Linked DNA regions of Struthio camelus. The protein of the gene in region 1 interacts with the protein of each later gene in a biochemical or structural test. Links are inferred from orthologs where the notes say so. Each region holds a gene or a part of one and is shown in the gene's direction. Other genes may lie near its edges.

What was found.
Region 2: the proteins of GSK3B (region 1) and SREBF1 form a complex in vitro, tested with the Homo sapiens proteins (2 studies listed by BioGRID, with this or other methods). The link is inferred for Struthio camelus from reciprocal best matches to the Homo sapiens genes GSK3B and SREBF1.
Region 3: of the proteins of GSK3B (region 1) and EIF2B5, one has a biochemical effect on the other in vitro, tested with the Homo sapiens proteins (2 studies listed by BioGRID and IntAct). The link is inferred for Struthio camelus from reciprocal best matches to the Homo sapiens genes GSK3B and EIF2B5.
Region 4: of the proteins of GSK3B (region 1) and NIN, one has a biochemical effect on the other in vitro, tested with the Homo sapiens proteins (2 studies listed by BioGRID and IntAct). The link is inferred for Struthio camelus from reciprocal best matches to the Homo sapiens genes GSK3B and NIN.

The regions. Positions count from the first base shown.
Region 1 is NC_090942.1:93,118,337-93,125,213, forward strand, and holds the start of GSK3B (glycogen synthase kinase-3 beta), read left to right. Parts: upstream 1-3,868; 5' UTR 3,869-5,208; coding exon 5,209-5,296; intron 5,297-6,877. UniProt on the Homo sapiens protein: Constitutively active protein kinase that acts as a negative regulator in the hormonal control of glucose homeostasis, Wnt signaling and regulation of transcription factors and microtubules, by phosphorylating and inactivating glycogen synthase (GYS1 or GYS2), EIF2B, CTNNB1/beta-catenin, APC, AXIN1, DPYSL2/CRMP2, JUN, NFATC1/NFATC, MAPT/TAU and MACF1.
Region 2 is NC_090956.1:3,831,819-3,838,640, forward strand, and holds the start of SREBF1 (sterol regulatory element-binding protein 1), read left to right. Parts: upstream 1-3,815; 5' UTR 3,816-4,088; coding exon 4,089-4,476; intron 4,477-6,822.
Region 3 is NC_090950.1:22,485,060-22,492,934, forward strand, and holds the start of EIF2B5 (translation initiation factor eIF2B subunit epsilon), read left to right. Parts: upstream 1-4,872; 5' UTR 4,873-5,029; coding exon 5,030-5,182; intron 5,183-6,390; coding exon 6,391-6,515; intron 6,516-7,266; coding exon 7,267-7,452; intron 7,453-7,548; coding exon 7,549-7,726; intron 7,727-7,875. UniProt on the Homo sapiens protein: Acts as a component of the translation initiation factor 2B (eIF2B) complex, which catalyzes the exchange of GDP for GTP on eukaryotic initiation factor 2 (eIF2) gamma subunit.
Region 4 is NC_090946.1:80,848,108-80,855,134, forward strand, and holds the start of NIN (ninein), read left to right. Parts: upstream 1-4,013; 5' UTR 4,014-4,107; intron 4,108-4,358; exon of another isoform or gene 4,359-4,482; intron 4,483-5,539; exon of another isoform or gene 5,540-5,646; intron 5,647-7,027. Other genes in the region: protein ABHD12B, read right to left, coding at 74-176, 1,020-1,147, 3,265-3,377. UniProt on the Homo sapiens protein: Centrosomal protein required in the positioning and anchorage of the microtubule minus-end in epithelial cells. May also act as a centrosome maturation factor.

The DNA.
Region 1 (6,877 bases):
CCCATGAACCTGTATGCTGTGGCTGTACTTGTTCTACCGCGCTGTCAAATTGGGAAATGGAAGTTGTCCACAGCTCCTGTCACATTAAACTGTTCAGACCACTTGGCTCCATTGATCTTAGCAAATATACCTGGAGTCCTACAAGGCCTAAGTGCACCCACGCACATTCAGATCAGCAAAACATCAGCTGTTCTCTGAAGCAATTGTCAATGATGACATTTTGTGACAGGAAATCATTGCAAAATGCTGGGTTCTCAAGATTAAAAACTTCTGTCCTGCTCAGAAGAATAAACACAACTAGTACTTTCTAAACATAGATTCATTTGGATTTTGCTCTGGGACAAAAATCAAAACCACTTTTCAGGATTTATTGTCTAATCATTAATGCCTGGGCAGTCGGTAAATTTGTTACTATTACAATCTCTGATTTTCCACTGGAAAAAAAAAAAAAAAAGAAAAAAGAAAAGTTAAAGTTCAACCATAACCATTGGGTTTATCCATGCCAATTAAACCAGAAAAAAGCCATTACAGTATCTTGCTAAATTGTTTCTTGGATAACTCCCTCAGCAATACTAGGGAAATAGATGCAAAACCAGTATATCCATTAATATTCTTTTAATTCACTAGTGTTTCAAAGTTCAAGACAACCTTAAATGATTGCATCCTTATCAGCCTAACTGAGGTATAAAACACTACCCTCTTGCCCTCTCACCGTGGCATATGTTGGAATGACCCAGTAATAGCTGCATGGTAAGCAAACAAAGAGGCAACAGAAAGTCTTTCTGCTGAGTACCCACAGAGGAAGCAAAGGAGAAAGAAAAAGCAGGAGTTCCCTGTACAGCAACATATCTGCTTACTACCAATGCATGTTGGAGCAGAACTATTCCGTGTATGTTTAACATGACTGGATTTGATGTTTATGCCAGCAGACTCTGTCACACTTCTCACTCTGGCCCCGGCTCAGGCTGGAGTCTTGCATGTGCCCGCACGATATATGAAATGTAACCAACGAACCAATCGACCAAAAAATGTCCCCCTGCTATCAAGCTTTTTAAAGATTTGTTCTGTCCAAAAATAATACCAGTTTTCTAATTCACTGCCACCTTATGGCATTTTAGAGAGATAACACTTCAGTAATTTCTATCAGACGCTCAGTATTTTCAGGTACCCTCCCTGAGAACTTGGATGCTACCAAAAAAATGCTTTAATTTTGCATTTTAGCAACTATAAAGCTGTCTTTCCCATCCAGATCGGAACAATATTAATGTCTGGGACACTGGATTATTCTTGCTTGTGAAAACTGATCATTAAAACGTCAATTCTATTTATATTTACAGATTGTAAAGGGAGGTCATTTCATCAGCCAAGGGGTCAAACATAAATATGAAATTTGCAATGTTGTCAAAAGAGAACCTTTCAATCCAAAAGAGCAACTAGCTCACTCATGATTTGCCCAAATGATTTTAACTGTTAGTACAGTTTTGAAATCGAGAATGAAGGCTTAACAGATGCCCTTATCATGTGTTTATGGTTTTTCTGATAGCAGTCTTAACTAAGGAAATAGTCTATGAAAAAAAACTAACAGAAATTGGAAAGGGATGATATTTATCTGGTCTTCAAATACGTAACAATTCTCCTTTAAATATATGTGTGTGGTTTCAAGGTAGATGAGCAGAAAACTCTCTGACTGAAGTGGACAGGTTTTGGAGAGTTCATTGGTTAATAATTACTTGGAAATGTGGGCAGGACTGGCTAAGGGGAAGCAGGGCAGCTGAGATTTTTTTAGTGTACATTCCCCAAGTGGATGGATAGGGCTGGGATTTGGAAAAGCGAGATTAGTAGTAACTGAGAGTTTTGGTTTTGATATGGATTGTTTTGGTACTGAAGGGGAAACTGGTAGGGACGAGATAAACCATGTTGAGGAGTACAACCATGAAGGGTTGTTTTTTTTTTTTTTCCCGAGTTAACCTTGTTCTCCATAAGTAAATGAAGGTGATGTTTCATTTATGAATGTAGACTTGTCAGAGAGTTTTAAAAGACATGCGGCAAAGGGCTAATGTATGTGATTTTTATTTAATAGTCTTATGGGTAATGATGAATGCTAATGTAAAGAGATCATCGTCCCACTCCCCCTACCCCTGCCGCCGTTTTTCAGACTGTCTGCTTTGTCAAACAACAAAGCTTAGGGTCTCTCTTAGGTCAGTTCCACTATTTGTGTGGTCTTTTGAAAGAACTTCATCAGAATATAAGAAAACGTGATTTGTGTTGGTGTTGGTGCTCAAGGCTAAAAAGCGATTTCAAGCTCTGCTTTAAAACATGCCTGGAACATCTGATGGTTCATTTCCGGTAGAAGAAAGCTGGACACTGCCCAGTTGCATATTGACTTTGTCTTTTGAGTTAAGATCACTCTATATTAGAGAACTAACCCAATCTGTAGCCCAAATTGCTGTCCCCTGCTTTCTTCGCCTTCCATCCCCAGTAGTCTTGGTAGGGGGTGAAGAACTGTACCAGAATAGGAGAGAACGTGTCATTTTTTTGTGGTTGGTGACTTATGGAGACTGTGGCTGAGCAACGCTCAATATAGTGGTGTATCCGAGGGGTCTAGAGTGGTGAGTGAGGCCGGGTGGTTTGGGGGTGACTTCAGACTGTCTCTTTCAGTCCTTGGTAAGGCACGCCACCCTCGAATTTTAATTTCCCAGCTGCACAGAGCTGTGCAGGTAGCTCATGAAGAATCAAACCCTAAAAAGTCCTAGGTCCTTCGCGATAGTTAAAAATCACGTATCATTTATCAGAAGGTGAAAAGGTTTCTGGCAAACCAAGCACCCTGGGGTGAGCGGAGTGCTGAACAGGACCGTTTTGAGAGGGTGAGCTTGTTTTTTGCCTTGGAACAAAGCTCTTGCAAAGGATAAACGTCAGCTGCCTCTGGCCTGATCTTTGCTTGCTCATGTAGCAATGCCGTTTAGAGAAGGACTGAAAAAAGTAAAAGACTCTGGCAGCACTCTTATGCCTTGAAAGAAGCAGCTCTTAAATTTAAGAGTCTTAACACTGGCAAGAAAATGCTTCTGCCAGTCCAAGTTATTTTCTTGGTGGTATAAACTATTCTGGCAAGTACTTTTTTTTTTTTCCTAGTGGTAGAAGGAAGAGGTTCTCAGTTTTGGCTGAGGTCTGCTGAGTAATTTTCCTGGGGTCACAGCAGCAGGCAGCAGTGCTCCAGCTCCGGCTTTGCCAGGGCCGGGAGCTGTTGCCCCACAGACGCGTTAAGACCCCTGAAGAGCGTGAGCCCTTCCCGAAGAGCGTCGCGATAAACGCCTGGGACTCCGGGCAAGGCCAAGCCAAACCCGCTCATGGTGGCACCAAGGCCGATAAAATGCGGATAAAATGACTGCAGGACGCTCAGACGAGCTAAGGCGATTAGGTGCTGGCACAGGCCGCACCAGGCCGCGACGCCCCCTCCCTGCGCATGCGCGACGGCGGCACTGCGCACGCGCGCTCCCCTCCCCCCAGCCCCGCCCTGCGCCTCCAGTGAGGTCATAAAGGTGAGCGAGGCGGGGCGCGCGGCTGGGAGGTGGCGCCGCCGAGCCCCAGTGGGAGCGGAGGCTGCCAGCAGCGCCGGGCTGCGGATTGGCGCCGCGCAAGCAGCTGGATGGCGTCTTCGGGCCGCCTCATCCCCGCCGGCCAATCAGAGGCCTCCGCCGGGGAAGCCAATCGGAGCCCGGACGCGTTCTCCGCCTCAGGCTGCGGCTTGAAACCGTCCCAGGGCGACAGCGCGTCCCCTCATTGGCTCTCCCGCTTCGGCTCTCTTCGGGTGGGCCCGGTAATGGCCGGAAGAGAGGGCCTCTTCCTATTGGCTCGCCGATCGCGCTGCTAGGGCGGCGGCAGCAATTGCCGATTGGGTCTGCGCTCTCCTTCGGCGAGACTCGGCTGCGCCCGTAACGACTCCGCGATTGGTTACGAGGCGTTAGAGGCATTTCTGTAGCGGCCTCAGGATTGGCCCCGAGGAGGCTCGGACGTTTCCGTAAGGGCCTCGGGCTGGGGGCTGGCGAGTGCGTCGGGCTCTTCGGCTGGGTATTCACAGAAGGTGCTTAGGGCCGTTCCGCAGCGTAGGGCGGCAACGCGCATAGGCGGCTGCGCGGCTTTGGCGCACACACAGCGCGCAGCAGCAGGAGCCCGGCACGCAGCGGAGGCAGCAGCGGGGACAAAGGGACTGATCGGCAGGAACGGGGAAGGGGGCCCGGCAGGAGGCAGCCGGCGCCGGGAGGGAGCGGCAGGAGCCTTTAGCCGGGCGGGCGAGTCCCATGTGCCTTGGACGCCCGGGGAAGCAGCAGCAGCAGCCGCCGTCGCCGCCAGCGCTCTGAAGCCGGCTGACGAGGAGCTGGGGAGCCGCCGCCGCCGTCATGGCCTGCACCGCCGCCTCCGGCCGCCACCCGCACTGCAGCCTCCCCAGCCTGAGCCGCCGCCAGCTGCCCCTGCGGGCGCAATGAGGAGCCGCGCCGGAGCCGCCGCCTCAGCGCCGCACTGAGAAGCGTTAGCGAGCGAGCGAGGCCGCCCGGGCCGCTTCACCCCCTACTCCGCCCGCCGCGGATCCCACCGCCCCTGCCGGATCCCCTTGCAAGCGGGGCGCATCACCTCCTGTCGGCGGATCCGGGAGCCCCGAGATCCTTCCGCCGGGGAAAAATAGTCCCGTTCCCTGCTGCCTCCCGAAGAGGCGAGGGGGAAGGAAAGGAGAGGGGAGGGGGAAGAGGAGGAGGAGGAGGGGAGGAAAAAAAAAAAGAAAAAGAAAGAAAAGCCCGGCGGACGGGATCAGAGGAGCCCGGCCATAAGCCTCCGCCCCATGTGACTGGCGCTCAGGGTGGGGGCAGCGAGGCCTAGCAAACCCCCATCGCTTCCCAGCCGGGAGAAGGAGCGGCGGCGGCGGCGGGGGCGCTGCGGACTGGGTGGAGGCCGCGCTCGGAGCCGCTGGTGCTGCCGGCGAGGATGTCCTTATAGGAGGCGGCGTGAGGCGGAGGAGCCGCGAGAAGCGCGACGAGACCCAGAGGGCAGGGGGCTTCCCCGGCCGGGTTTTGGGGGGGGGGTCGGGGGGGGGAGAGGGGGGGCCGGGAGCTGAATGCAGCGGGCCTGAGCCGCCTCCTGCGGCCGGGCGAGAGCGAAGCGGGCGGCGGCGGCAGCGGGGCAGGAAGGTGACCAGGGGCAGAGGAAGCGACGGAGACCATGTCCGGGCGGCCCAGAACCACCTCCTTTGCGGAGAGCTGCAAGCCGGTGCAGCAGCCCTCGGCCTTCGGCAGCATGAAAGTTAGCCGTGAGTATTGATTCGCCGCCCGCACCCTCTGCGGGGCGCCCGCCGCGGTGTTTCGTCCTGGGGGTGGCGGGGGGGGTTGTTAATTTTTATAATTCAATTTATATATATATATATTTATATATATACGTATTTATTTTATATATGTATATCTTTCGGTAAATACGGTAACGCAGTGGCTCGGAGCCTGGGCAGTGGCAGAGTCCTGGGCTGCCTCTAGCCCTGGATGAGGCGGCTCCCTTTCTCTCCCCTTCCCTCCCCCTCATTAACCTTGAATAGGCACACATCATGGTTTCGTTTGGGGCCTGCTTAACCAAAAAAAAAAAATATATATATATATATATATGTATATATCGCTTGTTTTATCCGTTTCTACAGCCTCTTGTCTCTGCTAATATTGTGAGCCGCCCGTTTGGCTAATTGAAAAGAATATTTCTTTGGAAAATGGATTGGAAGCTCTAGAGGCTTTTTTTTTTCCTCCTTCTGTGAAAGGAGGAAATGAATTACGGACCCGTAGGTATGGTCGTGACATTCATGTTCAGTATACGTTTGTATAACTGTTGGTTCTCCTGGAGAAAGCTTAGTAGATTTTTTTCCAGGCAGCTGTAGATCGGGTGTGAGCACCTTTTGTAAGCCTTTCTTTCTCTCTCTCTCTCTCTCTTTTTTTTTTTTTTGTGGGCTGCACTAAAATGTCTCTCTGTAATACGAATCAGGCTCTGCTAAAATGCTCAATAGAGGGGATGAGGAAATCGTTAATATGACATGTGAGTCTATGGAGTAGTTATTTCAAGCTCAGTATGCCTTTTCCAGTTTTCTGATCAGAGGAATTTTTCTTAAGAACGAGGCCTATGCTCTATTCTGCACAGGCGTGTTGTAGATGGAATAAGTATTTAATATGTGCCCATCCTTCATATTCTAGCCAGTGGGATTGGGTATTTCGTGCGAATTGGAAATGTGTATTAAATATTAACAAATGTATGGTGTGAATGGAGAAAGGCCCTATTCTGAGTCATGAAAGACTAGCTACGTGTCCGCAATACAGAATTTGTTGGCTCCTGATTTGAATATGTTCATATTAACAACTGAATTGTTCCTGCAGGTTCGTGTTACTAGCATAGTTCTCAAAAGTATATATTTTTTTCTTGTGGAAATAGAGGGTGGCATCATTATGGGACGCGGAATGCTTGGTATGCATTACTGTTCAATCGATTTATTTGATGCTTGTGTATAGCCACACCTGACAGCACTGTGTGTGTGTATCATATTGTTTTGGGCATCTCATGCCAAAGCTGTATGTGATTGTGAGCTTTTGACATACCAGAAATGTTGGCATTTTTCTGCACCGAAATGTCTTCTACTGCGGTTGAAGCCTTGAAGAGAGCATTGGGCTTGGGGTCTTGTAGTCTACCTTGTATCTGCATGATCAGAGTGCCTGCAGTACTTAGAAAAACATGGAGTGCAGTTAATCCATATTAGCAGCATAAGAGTGTATGTTTGATCAGATCCAGCATTAGTGTGTATTAAGACTCTTTAATTTTTGTGGGGAAAATCTGTATATGACTCCATTTTAATTTATTGATTCAC
Region 2 (6,822 bases), on another chromosome or scaffold:
GGTCAGTTTGAGACCCCCAGTTTGAATCCCGGTGCAGATAGGAGGTGACCACACATGCAGTTGTCTTTTCCCTCCTACCCCAGGGCTGAGCCTTGAGCCGGGACAGCCCAGGATGCCCGAGTGCTGCAGTTCCCGGCTGTGTATTTACTGAAGCCGTAGCTCAGGAAGGGATAGTTGGTGGCGCAGAGTTACAAGTAGCGAAGGAGAGAAGAGGGCTTGGATCTCTCTGCAACACATTAATGATTAACACTGCACTCTGCTGTAGCAAAACAAAACTCCAAAGCACGAGGGATGCTGAAGGCCAGGACTGGGGAGCATTAGCCCAAACAGCACGGCTGTTCTCAGCACGGGGTGAAGATGTGCTGGCAGGTAGCGAGTGTGCCGGGGCTCACAGCCAGCTGGACAGAGCATCTGCGAGAGCCGGCACGATCGGAGCGAGAGGGAGCTGGTAGGACGGGGATGCTCCTTGCAGCTGTCTCAGGGCGGCAGCAGGCACGTCCGCAGAGCCTCGCGCTGCCGCCTGCGACGCTCCCAGCCCGTGGCCAGCCCTACGCCGGCGCCCGAGCCCGCTGCAAGCAGCGCGAGCCTGCCCGGCTGGCTCCGCGTCCAGCGCCGGCCGTCTCCGGGCCGGTTTGTTTTCTGTCTCTTCCCTGCGGTTTCCTCCCACCCTATGCTCAGGAAAAATGTCTCAGCGACTCCGAAGCGACCACGTGGCCCCGCTGGCCGATCCCCGGAGGAGCGGCATGATGTAATCGTGGGCCCTGAGCCGTGATGCAGGATCACTCCACTGCGGGCCGCGGCGCTTATTGGCTGCGGCGCGCTGGTTCTACAGGCGGGGTTTTCCCTGCCCGCCACCCCGCTTCCCCCGGGGCGCCCCACCCCGCGTGGCATCCATTGGCCACCCAATCCATCCCTGCCCACGGGTGGCCGGCCGTGTTGCTTAACCGTCCTTCCCCATGGTGCGCAGGATGTTATTTGTTTGCTTTGGTCCCCTGGACCGCAGCAGAGCACCGTGCGCAGGGCCCCGGGGCGCGCGTGCCCCCCGCCCCGGCTCGGGGGGAGGGATGGGGATGGGGAAGGCACCTTGCACGCTCCCGCTCCGGCCGCCCCTTGCTCCCTGCCTGGCGCGAAAAGAAAGCCGTGTTTATGTGCGTGTGTGTGTTTTCCCCTCCCATGTCTCACGGGGGCAGGCTGTGCTGCAGGTCTTGCGTGTGGGTTATTAAAGGCGTGTGACCCCCGTATTCACGCAAGGCTGCTTTACGCTCCTCGCGGGGACGCGACACCATCCATTGCCCCACCGCGGCGCTCCAAAACCCGGCTGGAAGCCGGCCTCATCCCTCTGCGGTGCGCTGCCCACAGTAAGTGCCTTCCCGCAAGAGAAGGGAAACCTCCTGCTGTCGTGCAGCCCGACTGTTCCCCAGGGAGCTTAGAAGACGGCGGGTGAGAGCACACAGCCCCCTGCACAGCCCCAGGCCGGCTGTACCGTCGCTGGCCTCGATGCTTTTGCGGGATATGCGCCCACAGCTCTGTCCAGAGCCCCGTGCGCGCGCCGGGCGCTCTGTCCGCGGCCTCCTACGAGCTGCTCCAAGGCCTGTCCCGGGGATGCCGCCCCCATTGAAGACCTGCAGCCTCCCCCTAAAAGGTTCGAAGCCTGAGGGGAGAGGTTTTTTTTGGTGCACCCAATATTAATTAATGCACAGGTAGCTTTAGGTTGCGTTTGGTGGTGCAGAAGAGGAGTGGGTGAACTTTTTTTGGGGGGAGGGGGATGTTGCAGTGCATTTTCTTTTCCCAAATTGCTCCTGATGGGAACACAAGACACCCAGCTCTGCAGGGTCTGGCAGCCCCGGCTCAGCCCAACGTGAGCCCCCCCGGCTGAGCCCCAGTTCCTGCGCCTCGTGGGCAGCAGCCGGGCTGACCCTGAAGCCACCAGCGGTTTTCCCAGTTCCCAGTGACAATTCGCCTCCTTGGTGGCCCAGGGGCTGGAGGCACCGAGGCTGCCGAGCGCCAGGAGGCTGCGTGGGCTCGGCTGGGGCTCGGAGGGCAGCAATGGCCCTTTGGTGCCTGCTGCTGGTCCCTAAGGGAGGCCAGGGGGGTCTCGGGCTCCCCAGCGAGGCTGCAGGGGAAGGCTGTGGTCAGGTGCCGGTGCAGGACATGCTCCAGAGCTGGGGCACGGGGACAATCCCCCTGCACAGGGAAGGGGGACAGACCGCACATCTGTCTTCCCAGGGAAAGCAGATGTTCTCAGCCCGTCCGCTGCCCCGGGGAATTGCAGGAGCCCTGAGACAGGACGTGCTGGGCCAACCTCACCCTGGCACGGGGCCGCTGAAAGGTGCTGGGGGGCTTCTGCAGGCTCCTTCGCCCCTCTTCCCCCCTAAGGCTGGCCCTCCAGCCTGCTTCCACCTCCGCCTCTCCGCCCAAACCGGGCCTAGGCGGTATTTAGCGCCCAGCCCGAGTATTTGGTGCCTGCCCCGGGGGGTGCCGCCTGCCCCGGGGGATGATGCGCAGCCCGGGGGATGGAGGCGCCTCGCTCCCTGCCGGGCTCGGGGCCGGGGCCGGGGCCGGGGCCGGGGCGGGGTGTCCTCCGCGGGGCGGGCCGAGGCGGTGGGCCCGCCTCTCGCCTCCGCCTCGCCTCCCCTGCCCGGTATCAGGTTTGGGCACGGTCCGCGGGCGCAACTTCGCGGTTAATTCCCCCTCCTCTCTTTTTTTTTTTTTTTTTGGTTTGGTTTGGTTTGGTTTTCCTCTCTCTCCGCCGTACCAGAACCGGCCATGGCGCAGGGGGCGGCGGGCGGGCGGCCCGGGCGGTCCCGCCGCTCCTAGAGCCGCAGCCGGAGGCAGCCGCAGCCCCGGCCCGAGCCGCCGCCGCCGCCGGGGCCCGTGAGCGCCGCCGGGATGAGCGCCCTCGCCTTCGACGACGCGGCCCTGGACGGGCTGGCGCCGGCCCTGGACGGGCTGGCGCCGGCCCTCGGCCTCGCTGGAACCAGCGACATCGACACGGCGCTGCTCAGCGACATCGACGGTGCGTCCAGCCCCGCGGCGCCGGCGGCACCGGGAGCGGGGCCGGGGGGGCAGCGGGGGCCGGCGCGGTGCGTGGTCAGCGCTGGGCGCATGGCCGGGGAGCGGGCTCGGGCCGCCGACCGGGGGGCACCGGGCAAGGTGCATCGGCGGGTCCCGGTGCAGCCGGGCTCGGTGCGTGGCCGGGGCTGGAGGGGCCCCGCTCGGTGCATGGTCGGGGAGCGGGGACGGGGCCCCCGCTCGGTGCATAATTGGGAGGCGGCTCGGTGCCTGGCCGCGGCTGGGGTGGGGGCTGAGCTTGGGGGACCCGGAGTCGGTGCAAAGCCGGGTGGACCGGGCTCGGTGTGTGACCGGGGGGCTCGGTACATGGCCAGGGCCGGGGGGCAGCGGGCTCGGTGCACGGCCGCCGGGGCTCCGTGCGCGGCCGGGGCGGGGGGGGGGGGCTTGGTGCAAGGCCCGGGGGGGCTCGGAGCAAGGCCGGGGAGGGGGATCCACGGCGGGTGCTTGCAGGGGAGGGGGGGGCCAGCACAGAGCCCCCCCCCCCCCCGGGGCTAGGGTCCCCCCCCCGCCCCCGGTGCCGGGGCAGCCCCGGCGGGGCCCCCCCAGCCGCAGCACTGTGTCGCCTCTAGCCCCGCCCCGCCTGACGTCAGCCGCGGGGTTACTCCCGGTCGTTCCCTCCAGGACGCCTGGGCTCCCCGGGCCGCCTGCCCGGGCTTGGGGGGGGGGGGCATGGGCAGGGGGAGGTGTCCGGGCCGGGGCTGTGCGGCCGATCCCCCTGGAGGCCGAGACCCCCGACGGCGAGGGGAGGGGGCCAAGGAGGGCTGGGGGGGCCGCAGCCCCGCCGCCGAGCACCCCTCGCGTCCCCTGCCCCACGCGGGCTCCCCGCGCAGCCCGGCGATGGCGGGGGACAGGCGGGTGGCGATGGCACCCAGAGCCGCCGCCAGCAGAGCCACCCGCTTCCAGCCGCCGAGGCCCCGGCTGCCTCGCCGGTGCCTTTAGGCCAAGCTCAGGGTTAGCGCGACTTAAGCAAGAGATGAGTTTCGGGGGCCGGAGCCCGCCAGGGCCGCGGGCGGAGGATGCCCGGGCGGCCGGCGAGGCCGGGCAGCGCGCGGCCCCCTTCCCGGGCAGCTGCGGCGGCGATGCCCAGCAGCTTGCAGGAGCAGCGCCCGCCGGGAGCCCTGCCTGCTCTCGGGGCCGGGGCTGCGGTGACCTCGCAGGGCGGGAAGCTCAGAAGAAACACAAACTCCGGTGGGCGACAAGGGGCGAACTTCAGCTTTGCGGATCGTCGGCCGGCGCAGCGTCTTCCGAAGGGAAGTAGCAGGTGCCGTCTCTCGGTGTCCGCGCGTGGCCCTGGCTCCCAGGTTGGGCTCGGGGACGGAAGCGCTTTGCCCGCCGCTTGCAGGCGGGTCGTGCAGCCGGAGGCGGGCTGGAGCCCTCTCTGCCCTCGCTGGACCCAAAGCAGGGGTGAGCCGGCGCGCCGGGTCACGCTGCGCAGCCAGGAGGGGTCACAACCGCCCCCCTTTCCTGGCCGGAAGGTCCAGGAGGGGTCGGGTAGAGAGCGGGCGCGATCGGCCCATCGGGGCGAGGGTGTCCCGCCGCGGAGGCTTGTTCGCCCCCCTGGAGAGGGGCGATTTTGCAGGCGGAAGGGGTGTGCTGTTTGTGCGGAGGACTTTCTGGAGAATACCTGTACGGGGCGGGTATGGAGACCGCGAGCTTCGCAGCCCGGCCCCGTGCAGCAGGCAGCCCCCCAGGCTCTGCCTCGTGCTTTTGCAGCGCAGCCCGGGAGCAGCGAGGGGAGACGTCACCCTTTCCTTACGCCCCGTTTGTGGGGCTGCCGCCGGGCAAACGGCCCGGAGGAGGGTGCCGAGCGGCCCCGGGGTCTGCGAAGCCGCGGCCGGCCCCGCGTGGGGCCTGGGGACCCCTCCAGCCGAAGGGATTTTGCAGCTTCCCGGGGGCCGAAGCAGCGAGGCTCAGGGCAGCGTGGCGGGGACCGCGGCGAGCGTGGTGTCGCGGCACGCGGGCGCTCCTGCCCGTCCCCACGCGGGGAGCCCCGAATCTGGGAGCTGCAGCCCGTCCGCGCGGGGACGGGCAGGAGCACCCGCGGGACGCACGTGGTGTCCACGCTCGTCGCTGTCCCGGAGCCGGGCAGCACCCGGGGACGATGCTGCCTGAGTGCCCGGAGCAGCTGCGCTGGGAGGGAGCCGGCGCGGCGGCATATAAATATCCTGGCGGATGCCTCGCGCCCTGGAGAGCTGCGGAGGGCAGGAGGAAGAGGAGGGCCGGGACGGCAGGATGGGGTCCTGCCAGCGGCAGGGCGCGAGGTGGCCCACCGCCACGGCCACCCGCTTTGCTCACGTCCTCAGCAGCCAGCGTAGTTTCCTCCCGTGCCCCCCCGCGGCACCGGGACGTGCTGCTCCGGCACGCGGCCCTGGGGATGCTCGGGGGCCAGCTGAGCCGGGGGGGGTGGGCTGGGTGCCCTCCGGGGTGCCACCGGCCGGGTCCTCTGCGCGGCAGGGCCGTGAAGGGTGCGCTGGGGGGACGCTGGTGAGGGCGGTGGGCTCAGACCCCCCCCCGCGGGACCACCAGCCGGGCTCCGGCCACACTCGGCAGGTAGATCTGGGGGGGGATGCGGGGATGCGCCAGCTCCGTCACATCCCGCTCCAGCGTCGGCGGGGCCGGCCGGGGGCGCGCGGGGGGCTCTGCCGGCTGCCCCGGCGTGGGGCCGGCAGCAGTGCCGAGCGGCACGTAGGTCGGCGCGCCGAGACGCCCCGCGGCCGGTTCCCGCTCCTCCCTGCTCTCTGGCACCGCTCGGCCGGACGGGCTCCCGCGGAAGCACCCGGTGGCGGATGCAAAAGGGGAGGTGGGCGGTGAGCCCGCTCGTTAGCTAACGAAGGGGTTAACGGAGCCTGACCTAGAGTTACCGCGGGCCGGGGTTACGGCAGGATGCCCGCGAGTAACCCGGCGGGTGCACCTTGGCGCTGCCGCGGGGCCGTCTGGGGCGGCGGGCGGCGATTGGCGGAGGCGCATCACCCCACGGCCGGCCCCGCTCCAGCCCTGGCGCGGCCGCCCCGGGGAGGGCCCCGCGGCCGGCGGCCACCGCGTGCCTCGCCGGGAGCCCCGCGGGCTGCTGCACCCGCTGGGGGGTGGGGGGGGGCCGGGGCGCGCTCTCGAAGGTCCCCCCCCTGCCCTCCCTCGCCCGGCGCCGCGGGACCCCTCGGTGGGGCGACACCGAGCCCAGCGACGTTTAACCCCGGGGTGGGGGGCGAACCAGCCGGGCGCGGGGGGTCCGGCGCGTCCCGAAGGTGCCGCCGCTCTGCCCCGGCCCCCTGCCCGGCTCTAGGGGCGGTTTGGGGGCTGGCGGGGGGGTGCGGTACAGAATGAACGAACGAGCTGGGGCAGCCCAGCCCCCCCCCCGCCTCGTCCCCGAAACCAGGCTGAGATCGGCCCTGCCGCCCGGGTACAACAACCTCCGAGCAGCCGCGGTCCGACCCCCGCCGCCCGCCCGTTGCCAGCTCCGTGCCTCAGTTTCCCCGCTGGTGGCGGGACGGCGAGGACTGGGACACAGCGGCTGCCTGGGCTTTTGGGGATAGGTGTTTTGCCCCAGGGAGAGCCTCTGGGGTTTGGGGGGGACCGCGGCGCCGGGGAGCAAAGCGGGCAGGGGAGGTTGATGCCGTGTCCCCCCGCTCCGGGCCGTTCGCCTCCCCGCCGGCGCGGGCGGACGTGGCCGGGCTGGAGCGCACGTCCCCGGCCAGGCGCTGCGGGACCGGGTCCTCGCGGCGGGGCTGCGGGTTTGGGGTGCTTCACGTCACC
Region 3 (7,875 bases), on another chromosome or scaffold:
TTGGCCAGAGCCCAGGGAGTGGGAAGGAGAAAGTGAGACGGGAGGGTTGGGATGCAGGGCAGCATCAGCCTGGTTTTACACTCAGTCTCTCGTTTACCAGTGATCAGCAGTGTTATTTTACCTGCAGGACTCAGTTCCGGTCGTAAATCTTGTGTCCAGTACAGAGCTGTTCAGGGGTGCAGGGCTGGACAACTCAATTGCATGCTGGCTCGTGCCTACCCACCTACCCCTTCTCCGTGGGCAGGAGCTCCTCCAAGGGCATTTGGGGCAGGCAGACACCTCTCTACACCTAGCAAGTGAGCATCAACCATCACGAGTGAGCTCAGGACAGCCCCTGGGGCCTGGACACCCTGCATCGGGGGCAAGGTTTGCCCCACGTCACCTCTTCCACTGCATGGGGAGAGCCCTGGCCAAACCAGGCTCCCTGGCAGCTTGGCACTGGCCAGGCAGAGCAGAGTGGAGGCATTCACTGTATCCCTGACCTGGAATCAAGATGACACAAAGCCCAGGCTCTGCTGAGGCACCTGAGGATGCTCCAAGGACATCAGGAGCTGCTGGCCACCAGGCAGAACAGGACACCAAGTGAGTCCACGTAGACCTCCTGTGATCCTCCACATTGCGAGGCTCCCTGCCCTGGGGACCTCCTGACACAGGTCCTGCTCAGCCCTGACAAATATGGAGCCCCAGATATGCCCTAATTATGCCCCGGAAAGCAGAGTATTCCCACAGCACTCACCCTGCCCAGAGCTGGTGGATGCTGCTCCATAATGCCCTACCCAGAGGTGTGCAAGGATGAGGAGGTAGGAAAAGGCCCTTCAGTCAGCGTGATCTCCCTCCCTCCTCCCCATTGTGGGATACTGGGCTGGATGGACCTTCAGTCTAACCCAGCACATCCTCATTTCAATTTTCATGAGGTAATTTCAATTTTAAAAGCTCCCTCTGGAATTACATGGGTTTCAGAATATGTTTGGCCTGGGTGCTATTGGCCTGCAAGTCCCCACTGAAACCAAAGAGAAATGTTTCTGTAAAGCATGAAGAATATTTATCAAGCTGATTTTGAGTTCAGTTCATTAGCAATTACCTTTATTTGTCTTCCCCTGCTCCTGCCAACTTACCAGGGCAACGTCTTGGAAACTCGCCTCATTTGGAGAGAACAGGATGTAATTAGCCAGATAATCTGCTGATTCTCTTGTTGAGCTCTGCGTGCCCAATCTCGACACGGGCAGTGGCTGCGCAGGCTGGATCAGACCTGCTTTCTGGTACTGTTTATGCACTTAGTGCTACATAGGCAGGAAGGAACGTGCTGTCCTGCCCTTAGGCAATGACAAATCCACCTCTCAGATGACTCCTCAAATTGTAACCCCTGGGCTAAAACCACCTGGGAGCTCTTGTTCCGGGGTTAGCTCCTTTGCTGAGGCAAAAGGATTCCCAAGGGGATGTGGATACCTAATTTTGAACAGGATAGGAATGATTTATTTCTCCAGGGCAGCTCATCTCTATTTTCTCAGCTGTGTCTGTCCTGGCTGTTTTATCCCAACCCACTAGCTAAGGTCAAGCAATTTACCCACAAGGTGCAGCACAGCAAGAGTTCAACCACAAGTTACTGGGGGCAGATGGCAGCACAAAAGAGATCCTTAACACTTTAATCGGTAAGGGAAATTCAGGGAATACCCAATGCTGCAGGGTCCTTCAGGAGACAGAGGAGGATTGTTTTCTAATAAGTCAGTCAAGAACTTGCAATGCAGCTGGTGGAAAGGATGCGGCACTAGCCTATTGTACACAGGAAATACACTCTTACCCACTCACAACCCGGCAAAGACCCTTCAGCACTGCCACAGGGGCTACATGCACTGCTCTCAGCGCTAGGACAGCACTGTAGGTCCAACGATTGAACTGGTACTCTCTTCATTCCCTCTGTCATCAGGGTGGATAGATCATGTTGGGTACCGTGGGCTGGTAAGTGCATGCCATGTTCTACCCTGGGGAACAGCCATATCTCCGTGGGAGGGGATGCAAGTGCCCTGTGTTTCTTTCTCAGATGATAGCTGCACCGTGGGTCAGCTCTCCCATGCCCTCGCTGCTCAGGAAGGGGGAGGTGCAGAGGACTCCACCAGCAGAGGAGAGTAGCAACAGCCAGAGCAGGGCGTTACAGAGGGGGGCAACTTACAGACACCAAGAGCAAGAACGAGCCAAGAAAGGCTGGAAGGGAGACGGAGAGCTGGGGCTGCGAACGCCTGTTGCACGTTCAGAGGGCAGAAGCATAATAGCAGGGCAGTTCAGCGAGCACCAGGTCCCAGGGCTGGTAAGGGCCTTCGAGAGCAAACCTCAAGGTGCCCACTCTCCTCCCGCCAGGCTGAGGGGATCTCAGCAGCCCCCCTGCCCCAAACCCTCTAGGCACTTCCTCAGGGAGTCTCTCAGCCCATTTTCCAGGTTTTGAAAGCAGAGGTTATAATAGTTCTACCCTGCTGAAAAATGAGCAGGCAGCAGAGCTGTGTGAGCTGTGCTTGAGTAAGAGGGACTGTAGTTCCGTAACCGGGCAGTGGAGAGAGGCCAGAGAAGAGGATTCAGCCGAGGGGGCACTTTCTGCGCCCAGGACTGTAAGCGACCAATTCCCTCCTGAGCACCACATCAATACAGAAGCACTCAGGAGGGGCAACCAGATCTGCATGAGGACAGAGACCCGCCTTGGCCAAGGGGGACTGGGGGAATCAGGACCGATGAAGCTGAGAGCACCTGAGCTGATGATGTTGCAGATGGGCAGGGGGCCAGACACCTCCTCTGTAGCACCCAAGTGGGGAGTGCTTCACCAAGCGGGGTGGGAGGCCAGTGCCACCCCCCAACCCCAGAAACCACCTCTGCTTTTCTCTCCTCCCCTCTTGACAGTGTCTCTGGATAGACTTTGGGAGGTCGCTCCAGGACTGTGGGTTTCGGGTCTGTTCATGATGAAAGGCGGCAGTGCTGAAGTGTTGGTTCACAGCAAGACTGGCGTTTCCATTAACAGCTATTAGACATCTGGAAACGCAGCACAAATACACCACAGCTAGGAAACCTATCAAGAAGATACAACCTTTTCGAAATCCAGAACTCCCCGGGCTTGCATCAAAGTAATACACATGCACTGAGGTCATCTGGGAAATGTCCACGTATGGGAAATTCAGGCTTTCCCCTCTCCTCCCACTAACTTCGGGTCATGCCCTGTTGTGGTGGGGATGCTCCATTCTTTACCACACTCTCCTTCCTCCAGATAATGCAGATGAAAACGTATCTTCTCTGCTCCTGCATCTCAGAGAGGCATATTGAATAGCAGCACTATCAGCAGCCTATGCAAGTTATTTATTCTCAAAGTTTTGCCTGCAATGGATCTTCTGTAGAGTCAAATAGGTGATGCAGAATAGGCTGAAGTGTCTGGGAGGCAAAGAGCGATCAAATGCAAGATCTTGTTCCTAAATTGCTCTTGAACCGTCCTGCCTACATACACTCATCACAAGCTCTGCCTTTTGCTAAGCCGATTCAGGCACGTGGAGCTGGACCCCTGGCTGGCCCTTGCAAGGACAGGCGAAAACTGTCCTGCTCCTCACCTGGCTGGGCTGGACTGAACTGAACAGTCAGGGCTGCAAGGGGAACCCAGGAAATCTGAAGGGCTTTGGCAATTCTCCTCACCCCAGACAGGGCAGGCAGCTCCAGGATCCCACGCCATAAGCTGCCCTCCTGCTGCTCCCTGCTTAAACTACAAGCAGTCTGGGCAGCATAACACTACACTGTGTCTGTTGAACCGTCTGGTTAAACAGAAAGCACTACTACATTGAACCTGCTACTGCTGCCCCATATCTATTCACACAAGTACTTCCTACCCCTCCCTAAAACAATGAACACCGCCCAACAAAGCCACTTGCTGTCCCACTGCCTCTGGTTTTCATGGTCTTGTGCACCTATCTTCACATACGACACTTAAATTCCATTATTTTCTGGTCTCTGCCAGGCGCCATTACCAGCTGCACATCTGAAGTGCGGCGGGAGCTTTCCAGGAGCAGCCTGCTTGCATACACGGGTGAGCTCCAAGATGAGACAGATACGCTTCGCATCTGACACACCATCCCACACAGTGAGAATTACAACAACTTGGATTTCCAGAAGCCTTGCTGGATAGACAAGCAAGTGCTTTGTCTAAAAACTTGCAAAATCCAAGGAGTAAAGCTATGCCTACCTGCAGCAATGCCTCAAACATATGCCAGCCACTCATCAAGGGAAGAACTTGTTTCACCCAGTCTGACCTACTTAACACAGCTTCGTCCAGTGATTCATGCATCAAGACTAGTGAGACTAGCGTTGACCTACAGGAGTGGTTTCCAGCAACGACCCCGAGCTCTTCTCAGGAGATTTATGAAAGACGACTGCAAAAACCAACCTCACGCTCATGCAGCAACCTCTGCCAGCAAACCACCCTCCCCAGGCGCCCCCAGTTTGGGCAGCCTCGAGCCTCCCCAGGGTGAGGGAGGTACAGACAGGCCCGGCGTGGCCTCTGCCAAGTCGAGAGGCCCCTTCCTGTAGCGGAGAAGGCGCTGTGGGCTGCGGCACCCCCTCCCAAAGAGACCCACTCTCGGTGGGCAACACGTCCACCCCCCACCCCGTATGACCGCGGGGTAGCAGGTCTACCCATGACCCCATGTAACCGAGGGGGAAACTACCCACAAGACCAGGTTAGCCCTGGGGCTCTCGCCTGGGCCCGCGACAACACGGCCCGGGCAGCCTACAGCCACCCCGCGCCGGCTCCGAGGGGGCCGGGACACCCCGCCCGCCGCTCCCGCCCCGGCGGCGGAACCCGCAGCCCCCGGACCGCCCCGCCCCGCCCAGCCGCCGGCCCAGGGCGCACTGCGCATGCGCCGCCGCCCCGCCTGCTCGGGCGCGCGCGAGCCCCCCGGCTGGCCGCGCCGCTTCCTTCGTCGCCAACTGTTCTGTCCCCGTCGAGCTCCCGTCGGTCTTTCCGGCGAGAGCCCGGAAGCGGAAGCGGGAGCTGAGGCAGCGTGAGGAGATGGCGGCCCGCGGCGCTGCGAGGCGCGGAGCCGGCGCGGGTGCGGCCCGCGGCCCCGACCCGCAGGAGGAGCCGCCGCCGCCGCTCCAGGCCGTGCTGGTCGCCGACAGCTTCAACCGCCGCTTCTTCCCCATCTCCAAGGACCGGCCGCGGGTGAGAGGCCTTCCGCCGGCTGCCCGGGGCCAGGAAGGGGCTCCCGGCTCCCCTCGGGCTGCCCCGGCCGCGCCGGCTCCTCCCGGGGTCCCTAGCGCAAGGCGGAGCGGCGGCCGCCGCGGACGTCGCTCCCGGGGGCGCGGTGTGCCCTGCCGTGAGCGCCTGGGCCGGGGCTGGGAGGCGGCGAGGCCGCCGGGCGCTGCCGGCAGGTCGCGGGGTGCTGCTGCGCCCCCGCGTCCGCCGCGGCCCTTCCACCGGGCGTGAGCGGGAGGGAGCCTCTGACCGGCCCTCCTCCTTCGGCGGGGTTTATGTGCCCGGTCGGAGAGGCGGTGAGCACCTAAGTGCTGTGTTGGTGCTGTTTGCTTTCCCATATGGTGCAGCCAACTGCGCTGTTTGCTTTTCACCCACTGCTGATGAAGGAGTGGTAGCAGATTTGGGCAGGTTTCCTTCTGGTAGAGGAAAGAAGCAAAGCGTCTGTGTCGGCAGTAGCGTAAAAGAATATGGCCAGCCAAAAGGATGGCAAAAGCATTTTAATTATATAGATGAGAAGGCTGCGTGTTAGAGTGCTTCTGTAGAATTTAGGTCTGAGCAATTATCTTACCTCGCTTGCTGAGTAAATGCTTGCAGTGTTCATAATTATACACGTGGGCTCGGACCTGAAACAAAACACCATCAGAAATGGATCAAAGGATAGTATGAAACTGTCAGTTGTAAATTAGTAAGTTAGTTTAAAAGTGTGACATGAATCTCAAGTCGAGAGGATAGTCACTTCACTTTAGGTAGGGTCTTTTCTTTTCCTTTTTTATTCTGGAGACTCTCAATTCTTGTGGCTTCATCATTCATGTCTGACAGGTTTTTCTTGTAGTAGTTAAAGCCAGAGTCAGGGAATCAGTACTTTGGAATTTTTTGAGTTTTTTTTTTTTTTTTCCTCGTCTCTGTCGTTTATTTGAGTCTTCTTGAAGAATTTTAGGTGCGATAACCTCATTTCTCTTGCACCTTCCTCTGTAAACTAAGGGTGATTCTAACTTCCCCTATGGAACATCAGGAGGTAGCTCTTACTGTCTATATCAACTTGGAGAATTTTCATTGAAAGGAGGTATAGCAGTCATTCACCTTTTTATTCTGACGGTACTGAAGCTAGAAGACGCTGCTGCTGATATGGAGCTATAGTGTGTTTGTTCAGCTGTCTCTCCATCTGTTTTTTTTAGGCTCTCCTACCTATGGCAAACGTGGCCATGATCGACTATACCTTGGAGTTCCTAACGGCAACCGGAGTCGAAGAAACTTTTGTTTTCTGCTGTTGGAAGTCAGCTGAGATAAAAGAGCACTTACAGTAAGGATTTCTTCTGCTTTCTTTTTAGCCTTATCATGGAAAGGAATCTGCCATTATCCAGTAAGCCTCCCAGGTCTTAGATTGCACTGATCCTTCTACTGATGAAAACTGTGCTGCTAGGGATTCCCTTTCAGTAGATGTCTCCCAGCACATCTCAAAAAAGAATATTCCTCATGTGAAGAAGTGGGGTCGTGCAGTATTTTAAAAGGGTTGTTTGGGGGACTACCTTTTTTTACTGGCGTTATTGGCTCTTTGCCTAAAAGCAGCGCTTTCCTGCTTAGCACTGTAATTTATAATACTGCACTTTACTAGCCTTCTGCCGTGTCTCAGTGATCGGTGCAGCATATTGAAACAGTTCTCATTGAAAGTACCTTTTACCTCTGCATGCTGCAGGTTTGCCTGCTCAGGAGAAGCGTGCAGTCTTTTCTCTTCCCTGCTTGAGGTACTGCTTTCAGAGAAAAAATTCCTGAATTGGGTGTAATCTCTCCTTCTCCTCTGTCAAAACTGCTCACAGATAGTCTAGTTTCCTAAGTTTCCCTAAGCCATAGTTTCAAGGTGTTATCATCTTCAGTTCTTTCTGCTCTGTGCAAATGATCAGATCTCTGCCCACTGATAATGTACTCCTTGTAATAGGATTCTTCCTGCATGCACTTATGGATGTGGTATGCACTGGGGTGCTGTGTTCTAGTGTAAAGTATCCACGGTACAAGTATCCCTTTTAAGCCTTCCTGATGTGGTTTTCTGCCTTCAGAAAGTCCAAGTGGTGCCGCCACACATCTCCCAACATGGTGCGCTTTGTAACTTCTGATCTGTACCGCTCCCTTGGTGACGTGCTACGAGACGTTGATGCCAAGTCTCTTGTCCGTTCTGATTTCATCCTTGTCACTGGGGACGTGGTGTCCAACTTCAATATATCCAGAGCCCTGGAAGAGCACAAGTAGGTGTTGAAGGAAGCGCGTGCCTGGCTGGTGTGCCGAGACTCTGGGCTGTAACTGTCTGGAGAGTGACTTAAAATTCTGCCCTTCCTGTTCAGGTTGCGTCGTAAGATGGAAAAGAATGTTTCTGTGATGACGATGATTTTCAAAGAGTCCTCACCTGGTCACCATGCCAGGTGCAACGAGGATGACATCATTGTTGCTATGGACAGTGCCACAAACCGTGTCCTTCACTATCAGAGAACCCAGGGGCTGAAACGCTTCCGCTTTCCTATGGTGCGTCTGGCAGGTGGAAAAGGGCTGTGAAGCAGCACCTCGAGGGAGTCCTCTTAGAGTGAGGACTGGGGAGTGTGCTTATTCCCTCTTTTGGAGCAGCAGGTGATGGGGAGTGACCCTTGGTAAACTTGATTCTGTCTAAGAGAGTT
Region 4 (7,027 bases), on another chromosome or scaffold:
GGAATTGGAGGGTTTTAGCCCTGCTCTTGGCACGCTCAGCCGCCAACCCCGCCGCTGAGGCTCTGCTACTCACCAGACGCCGACGGTGACGCCGGGCTCGGTGGTGAGATACAAGCTCACCGTGTTGTTCAGCAGCAGCTCCGGCTGCCGGAGGTCCACGAAGTAGGGGAAGGCCACTGCGGGAGAAGGCACAGGCGCTGCCGCCGACCCCGGGCGCCCCTCGCACCCCCCCCCCCCAGCCGGCTAATTCCCAAAGCAACGCGTGTCGCGCGCCAGCCTCCGAAGCGGGTGGCGTTTTTTTGGAAACACCTCCGGCCCCCGCAGAAGACGACGGCTGTTTTGTTCCCGGCTTCGGGAAGCGGTTCGGCCGAGCTCAGCCGCCCGCCAGCTCCCACCGCCGGCCGCTCGGGCCCGTTGGACGCTCTGCCTGCCCAGACGTGTTGCAACTCTGGGCAGCGAACGTCCTCGGCAAAACACCGCCTTGTTACAGCTTGCAAAACCGCGATGCACGAGCAGCAGAGACCCTTCCTTGCGTCGTCGACGGGCTGCGAGGAGCTGCCGTATTTTGCATTTCCTGCGTGTTCCCCTTGCTCCCGGCTCTGCCCGGGCGCCCGCCCGCGCCGGGCTGCGCTACCCCGGTGCCGCCGGGTGAAGCAGGGAGCTCGGGGCGGACCGAGCCGCGGGCACAGACGTCGCATGCAGCCCAACCCGGGCTTCGGGGGCAAAAATCAGCAGTGCAGGTCCGCGAGCTGCAGGCTCCCCGAGCCGGGCGTCTTCCTCGCCGGCTGCTCTCGCCGCCCTGCCCAAGCCCGGGGCACCCGGCCCGACCGGCCGGGCGACAGGGCTGAAGCAACGCTGCCGGCTCCCACGGCGCCCGCTGCCGCGGCCGGGTCACCTCCCGGCTCCGCGCGCCATCGGAGCCAAAGGGGTCCCAAAGGCTCGTCGTCGTCGTCCGTCCCCCCCCCACCACCACGCCAGACCGCGGGGCACCGGCTGTCCCGCGGCCCTGGGACACTCACGGAAGTTCAGGAAGACGAACTTGGTGAGGAGCACGGGGAAGAGGCGGATGAGGAAGGGCACAGACACGTAGATGAGGACAAGGTCCACGAGGAGGGTGCGGAGCCGGGGTCGCCAGGCCAGCCAGCCCCTGCAAGGCAGAAAACCCCGTGAGCGCAGCCCCTCCGTCCTTCGGGGGGGGGGGGGGGCGGACACACCGCAGTCGGGGTCCCCCCCTTCCCAGCCCCTGCCAGGAGTTTTGCAATAAAGAGTGAGCAACCCTGTAGGGCAGCACCCAGAGCCGGTGCCGGCGAGCAACGCTCCCAAATATTTCCCGCCCGCGCCAAGAGCCTGCGCGACTCCCCAGGGACGAGGAGAAAAATCCAGCAAAAGGGGCTCGGGTTCGCCGCAGAGAGTCAGCAAGCACTTAGGTAAAAAGTGGCGGCGGCGGCCCCGAAGGGTCGGACGCGTCACGGGCTGCCGCGGCCGCAGCTCCGCAGGCGACAGGGAGGCTCGCGTCCGACCCTTCGGGGACGCCGCCGTGCCCGGAGCCGCCCAGAGGCGGTGAGGGGCTCCGGAGGGGGCCGGTGCCGCTGCGTGCCCAAGGCACGGGGCCAGCGCTGCCCGCGGAGTCACGCGCTTAATTATTAGGTGCCACTCTTCATCTACACTTAATATGCAAACACGGGGGCGAGGGATCACACCCTGCTTTGCACAACGCCTGCTGCAACCGCGCCGAGGGGCACGGGGCAGGGCCGGGGTGCAGCAGAGCGGGGAGCCGGGGTGACGGCACCCGGGGGGGCAGCAGAGCGGGCAGCCGGGGAGATGCCTCCCGGGGGAGACCATGGGGACACCATCCTCGGCAGCTGGCACAGGCCTGTGGCCACGGCAGGGCACCGGCTGACACAGGAACGTGTCATTGGGGGTCATGGCCACGGCAGGGGGCATGCACAGCAGGGACCTGGCCATGGACAGGGGGACACGGGGACATGGCATGGGGGTCATGGCCACGGCAGGGGGCATGGACAGCAGGGACCTGGCCATGGCAGGGGGACATGGGGACATGGCATGGGGGTCATGGCCATGGCAGGGGGCATGCACAGCAGGGACATGGCCATGGACAGGGGGACACGGGGACATGGCATGGGGGTCATGGCCACGGCAGGGGGCATGGACAGCAGGGACCTGGCCATGGCAGGGGGACATGGGGACATGGCATGGGGGTCATGGCCATGGCAGGGGACATGGACAGCAGGGACCTGGCCATGGCAGGGGGACATGGGGACATGGCATGGGGGTCATGGCCATGGCAGGGGGCATGGACAGCAGGGACCTGGCCATGGCAGGGGGACACGGGGACATGGCATGGGGGTCATGGCCACGGCAGGGGGCATGGACAGCAGGGACCTGGCCATGGCAGGGGGACATGGGGACATGGCATGGGGGTCATGGCCATGGCAGGGGACATGGACAGCAGGGACCTGGCCATGGCAGGGGGACATGGGGACATGGCATGGGGGTCATGGCCATGGCAGGGGGCATGGACAGCAGGGACATGGCCATGGCAGGGGGCATGAGGACATGGCATGGGGGTCATGGCCATGGCAGGGGGGCCCAGTCACAGCAGGAACGTGGGGACATGGCAGGGGGGTCATGGTCACAGCAGGGACATGGGGACATGGCATGTGGGTCACGGCTACAGTAGAGGGCACGGTCACAGCAGGGACATGGGGACATGGTGGGGGGGTCATGGCCACAGTAGAGGACACGGTCACAGCAGGGACATGGGGACATGGCGGGGGGGTCACGGCCACAGTAGAGGGCACGGTCACAGCAGGGACATGGGGACATGGCGGGGGGGTCACGGTCACGGTAGGGGACACGGTCACAGCAGGGACATGGGGACATGGCATGGGGGTCATGGCCACGGTAGGGGACACGGTCACAGCAGGGACACGGGGACATGGCGGCGGGGTCACGGCCATGGTAGGGGGCACGGACAGCATGGACTTGGCCATGGCAGAGGGGTCACAGCCATGGCATGGGGGACGCAGCCATGGCATGGGGGACGCGGCCATGGGGTGACAGCCACGGCAAGGTGACAAGGCCACGGCAAAGGGGACATGGGGACATGGCCCCAGCTAGGCCATATGGCCCCGGCAAGAGGGACACGGCCCGGGGCAGGCGGTGGCACCGCACCGGCGGGGGGGGACGGGCCACCGGGCCGCGGGCTCGCACGTGGGGCCCGGCGCCGCGGCAGGTACTCACCGCTCCTGCGGGGCCGGGGCCGCCTTGGCCTTGGCCTTGGCCGCCGCCTGCCCGCCGGGGCCGCCGCCGCCCGCCGGGGCCGCCGCGTCCCCCCGCTCGCCGCGCCGCTTCATCGCGCCCGCACCGCGCCGCGCTGCCGCCGCTCCGCCGCCGCGCCGCCGGCCCCGCCCCCTCCCGCCAGGCCCCGCCCCCTCCCGCCGCGCTGCCGCCGCTCCGCCGCCGCGCCACCGGCCCCGCCCCCTCCTGCCAGGCCCCGCCCCCTCCCGCCGCGCTGCCGCCGCTCCGCCGCCGCGCCGCCGGCCCCGCCCCCTCCCGCCAGGCCCCGCCCCCTCCCGCCGCGCTGCCGCCGCTCCGCCGCCGCGCCACCGGCCCCGCCCCCTCCTGCCAGGCCCCGCCCCCTCCCGCCGCGCTGCCGCCGCTCCGCCGCCGCGCCGCCGGCCCCGCCCCCTCCCGCCAGGCCCCGCCCCCTCCCGCCGCGCTGCCGCCGCTCCGCCGCCGCGCCGCCGGCCCCGCCCCCTCCTGCCAGGCCCCGCCCCCTCCCGCCGCGCTGCCGCCGCTCCGCCGCCGCGCCGCCGGCCCCGCCCCCTCCCGCCAGGCCACGCCCCCGCCCTCAAACCACGCCCCCTACGCCTCGCCCCCGGGGCCGCGAAGACTCACCCCCCCCTCCCAGCGCGGGAGGCCACGCCCACTCCCCCTCCCGCCCCGCCCCTTTCGGCCTGCAGGGGCGGGGCTAGGTGGTGCCGCCGGGTCCTCGGGTGCCCCCGGCCGCACGGCGGACGAGAGAGGCCGGTAGCGCCGCCGCCGCCCTCGGATCCAGGCCGGGCTGGACTCGGCCTTTGCCCGGTGAAACTTCCCGCGGGGACTCCCCCCCCCCCCCAACCCCCGCGCCGCTTCCTTCCTTCCCCGTGGCCGGTCGGTGCTGAGGCCGCCGCAGCTCAGCGCACCGATGCGGCCGGAGCGGCGGGACCTGCGGGGTCAGGGGAGAGCCGGCCGGGGGCCGAGGGTGCCCCCACGGGTGGCAAAGCGACATAAAGGCGCCTGGGCCGCGGCGGAGGCCGGACGTGGGGTGGCAGCAGCGAGCCGCTCTCCCCATTGTTTTGTGCAGAAAAACCACAAAGGGGGAAAGTTTTTAGCTTGTTCCAGCCTCGGCTTCTTTGCGCCCTTCCGCAGGCGCAGACGGAAGAGAAGGAAACCGGAGGAGCCGGGCCGAAAACCCAGGCAGGGATTTGTCGTCGTCGTCGCCCGCCGCCGCCCCGGAGCCGGATTTGGGGCGGAGGCGCAAGGCGCAGCCCGGCCATCGCCTTCTCGGGGCTGTTTGTGCGGGAGGAGGAGGAGGAGGAGGAGGAGGAAGGGGGGGGCCGCCGAACAAAGCGCCGGATGGCTGCCGCTGCGCGGGGGCCTGAACCGGGCACGGGAAAGCGGGGCCGGGGGGGGGTCCGGGGGGGGTCCGGGGGCCGCCGCGTGTCGGAGCAGCAGCAAAGCCGCGGAGAAAAATGGCAAACGCGCAAAAACGGAAGCGCAAATTGCCGCGGCCGGCGCGACATCTGGCCAGGCCGGGGCCGGGGAGCAGGGGGCTGCGCTGGCCCAGCGAGGGGCTTCGGGGGGGGCGGGGGCTGCGGGCGGGGGGCCGGGACGGCAAGGAACTGGGGGTGATGGCAGCCGGGGGTGCAGGACGGTGGGGACCTCAGCAGTGCCACCCTGGGCTGTAGGACAGCAGGGAGCTGGGGTGATGCCACCTTGGAGGGCAGGAGAGCAGGGACCACGGTGATGGCACCCGGGGGGGGCAGGAGAGCAGGGACCACGGTGATGGCACCCGGGGGGGGCAGGAGAGCAGAGACCACGGTGATGGCACCCGGGGGGGCAGGACAGCAGGGAATATAGTGATGGCACCCAGGAGTGCAGGAGAGCAGAGACCACGGTGATGGCACCCGGGGGTGCAGGAGAGCAGAGACCACGGTGATGGCACCCGGGGTGCAGGAGAGCAGAGAATATGGTGATAGCACCCAGGAGTGCAGGAGAGCAGAGACCACGGTGATGGCACCCGGGGGTGCAGGAGAGCAGGGACCACGGTGATGGCACCCGGGGGGGGAGGCAGGATCGCGGGGAGCCGGGGGACGCCGGGCGGCGGCGGGGGGGGGGGGGGGGACCGCGGCGGTGCCCCCGGAGCGGGGGCGGGGGCGGCGCGGCGGCTCCGCCCGGCGGCGGCGGCGCACAAAGGCCGGCGGCCGCCCCCGCCCGCCCCCGCCGCCGCCGCCCCCGCCCCGGGGCCGCCCAATAAACGCGGCCGCATTTGAACCGGGCGCCTCCCCGCGAGCCGCGCCCGGCCGCGGCGCCCGCTCCGCTCCTCTCCGCACCGCTGCGCACCGGCAGGCCCGGAGCCCGGTGAGCCCCGGCCGGCGGCAGCGCCCAGCCCCGCGCGGGGGGGGGGAGCGCCCCGGGGTGCGGGGTACCGGGCCCCGGGGTGGGGGGAGAAGGAGCCGCGGCCCCGGGAGCGCAGCCCGCCCCTTCCCGGCAGCCGCGTGTGCCGAGGGGGCAGCGGGGTGCGTTGCTGGGGGAGGGGGGTGTTTTGGGGAGACGTGGGTGCTTTAGGGTGTTGGGGGGGGGAATGCTTTAGGGACGGGGCGCCCCCGTGGGTGCGCTGCGGAGGGGCTTCGCGGGCGGCGCTCCCGGGGGAGCGGGGCGCGGGGGGGGCCCTGGTGGCTGCGGCCCGGCCGGTCCCTTCCTCCCGGGGCTCCGGGGGGGGGGGGGGGAAGGAAAAAATAATAAAAAAAAGAGACTTTTGCCAAGCCGTCGGGGCCCTTCCCGTCCTGGGAGAGGGGCTTCACAACACCCCGGCCCCCAAAACGGCGGCGGGCGGAGCCGCGGATGGGGGGCCGTAGGGCGGCGGCGGGGGGGGGGTGAGGTTATGGGTGCGCTCGGCGCCCCCGGCCCCCCCCCCGCCCCCGTCGGGGGGCTCAGCCCGGCCCTGCCGCCGGCACCGACATCATGGCGCGTTTCCAGCCGCCCGGGACGGTGCTGGATAAACCGGCTTTTTGCTTTGTTCGCTTCCCAAATAATCCGCTTTTGGGGGCGGGGGGGGGGGGATCTACCTTGGGTTTTCTCCCACCGGCTTCTCGCCGGCCGCCGAGCAACATCCCTTGCAGCACCCCGACAGATGGGCGCATTGTTTTTCCTTGCTGCCGGGAAGGCTCCTTCTTGAAAGGACCCATTACAATGCAAATACCGAGGTGTCGTGAATATTCAAAACGCTGCCCTTCTCCTTTTTTTTTTTTGCTTTTTTTTTGGGGGGGGGGGGCCGCCCAGTTGCATAAATTTAGCGTGTGCTTGCCCTGCGGCCCCACGCGTGGCTCCTGCCCCCCTCTATCAACGGGGGTTGCAGATCGCTTCCAAAAAAACCAAAACCGAACCACTAAAAGCGTGTTGTGCTAATTGCATTATTTCTGCTTGGTCATGCTACTTACTGACCAGGTAATCCGCACCTTCGTTAGTGCTACGCTGAAGCTCCAAGGCTGCTATTGATTGAAGGCGCTAATTACCACTTAAGCCTATACTAGCCGAGTTAAATTTCGCTTAGTGTTCAGTGACGGCCGGGCCGCTGCACCTTGCGGGCTGTGAAGGTGATCGGGCCCTGCGCAGAGGGCAGGCGCAAAGGCGGCACAGAGCCGCTGCGGAAAACTTGCTTCCCTCGGCGTCCGTGGGCCTGGGCGCTCGGCTCGCCCCGGGGAGCACAGAGCGCTCGGACTGCCGCAAACGCCTGAGGGGC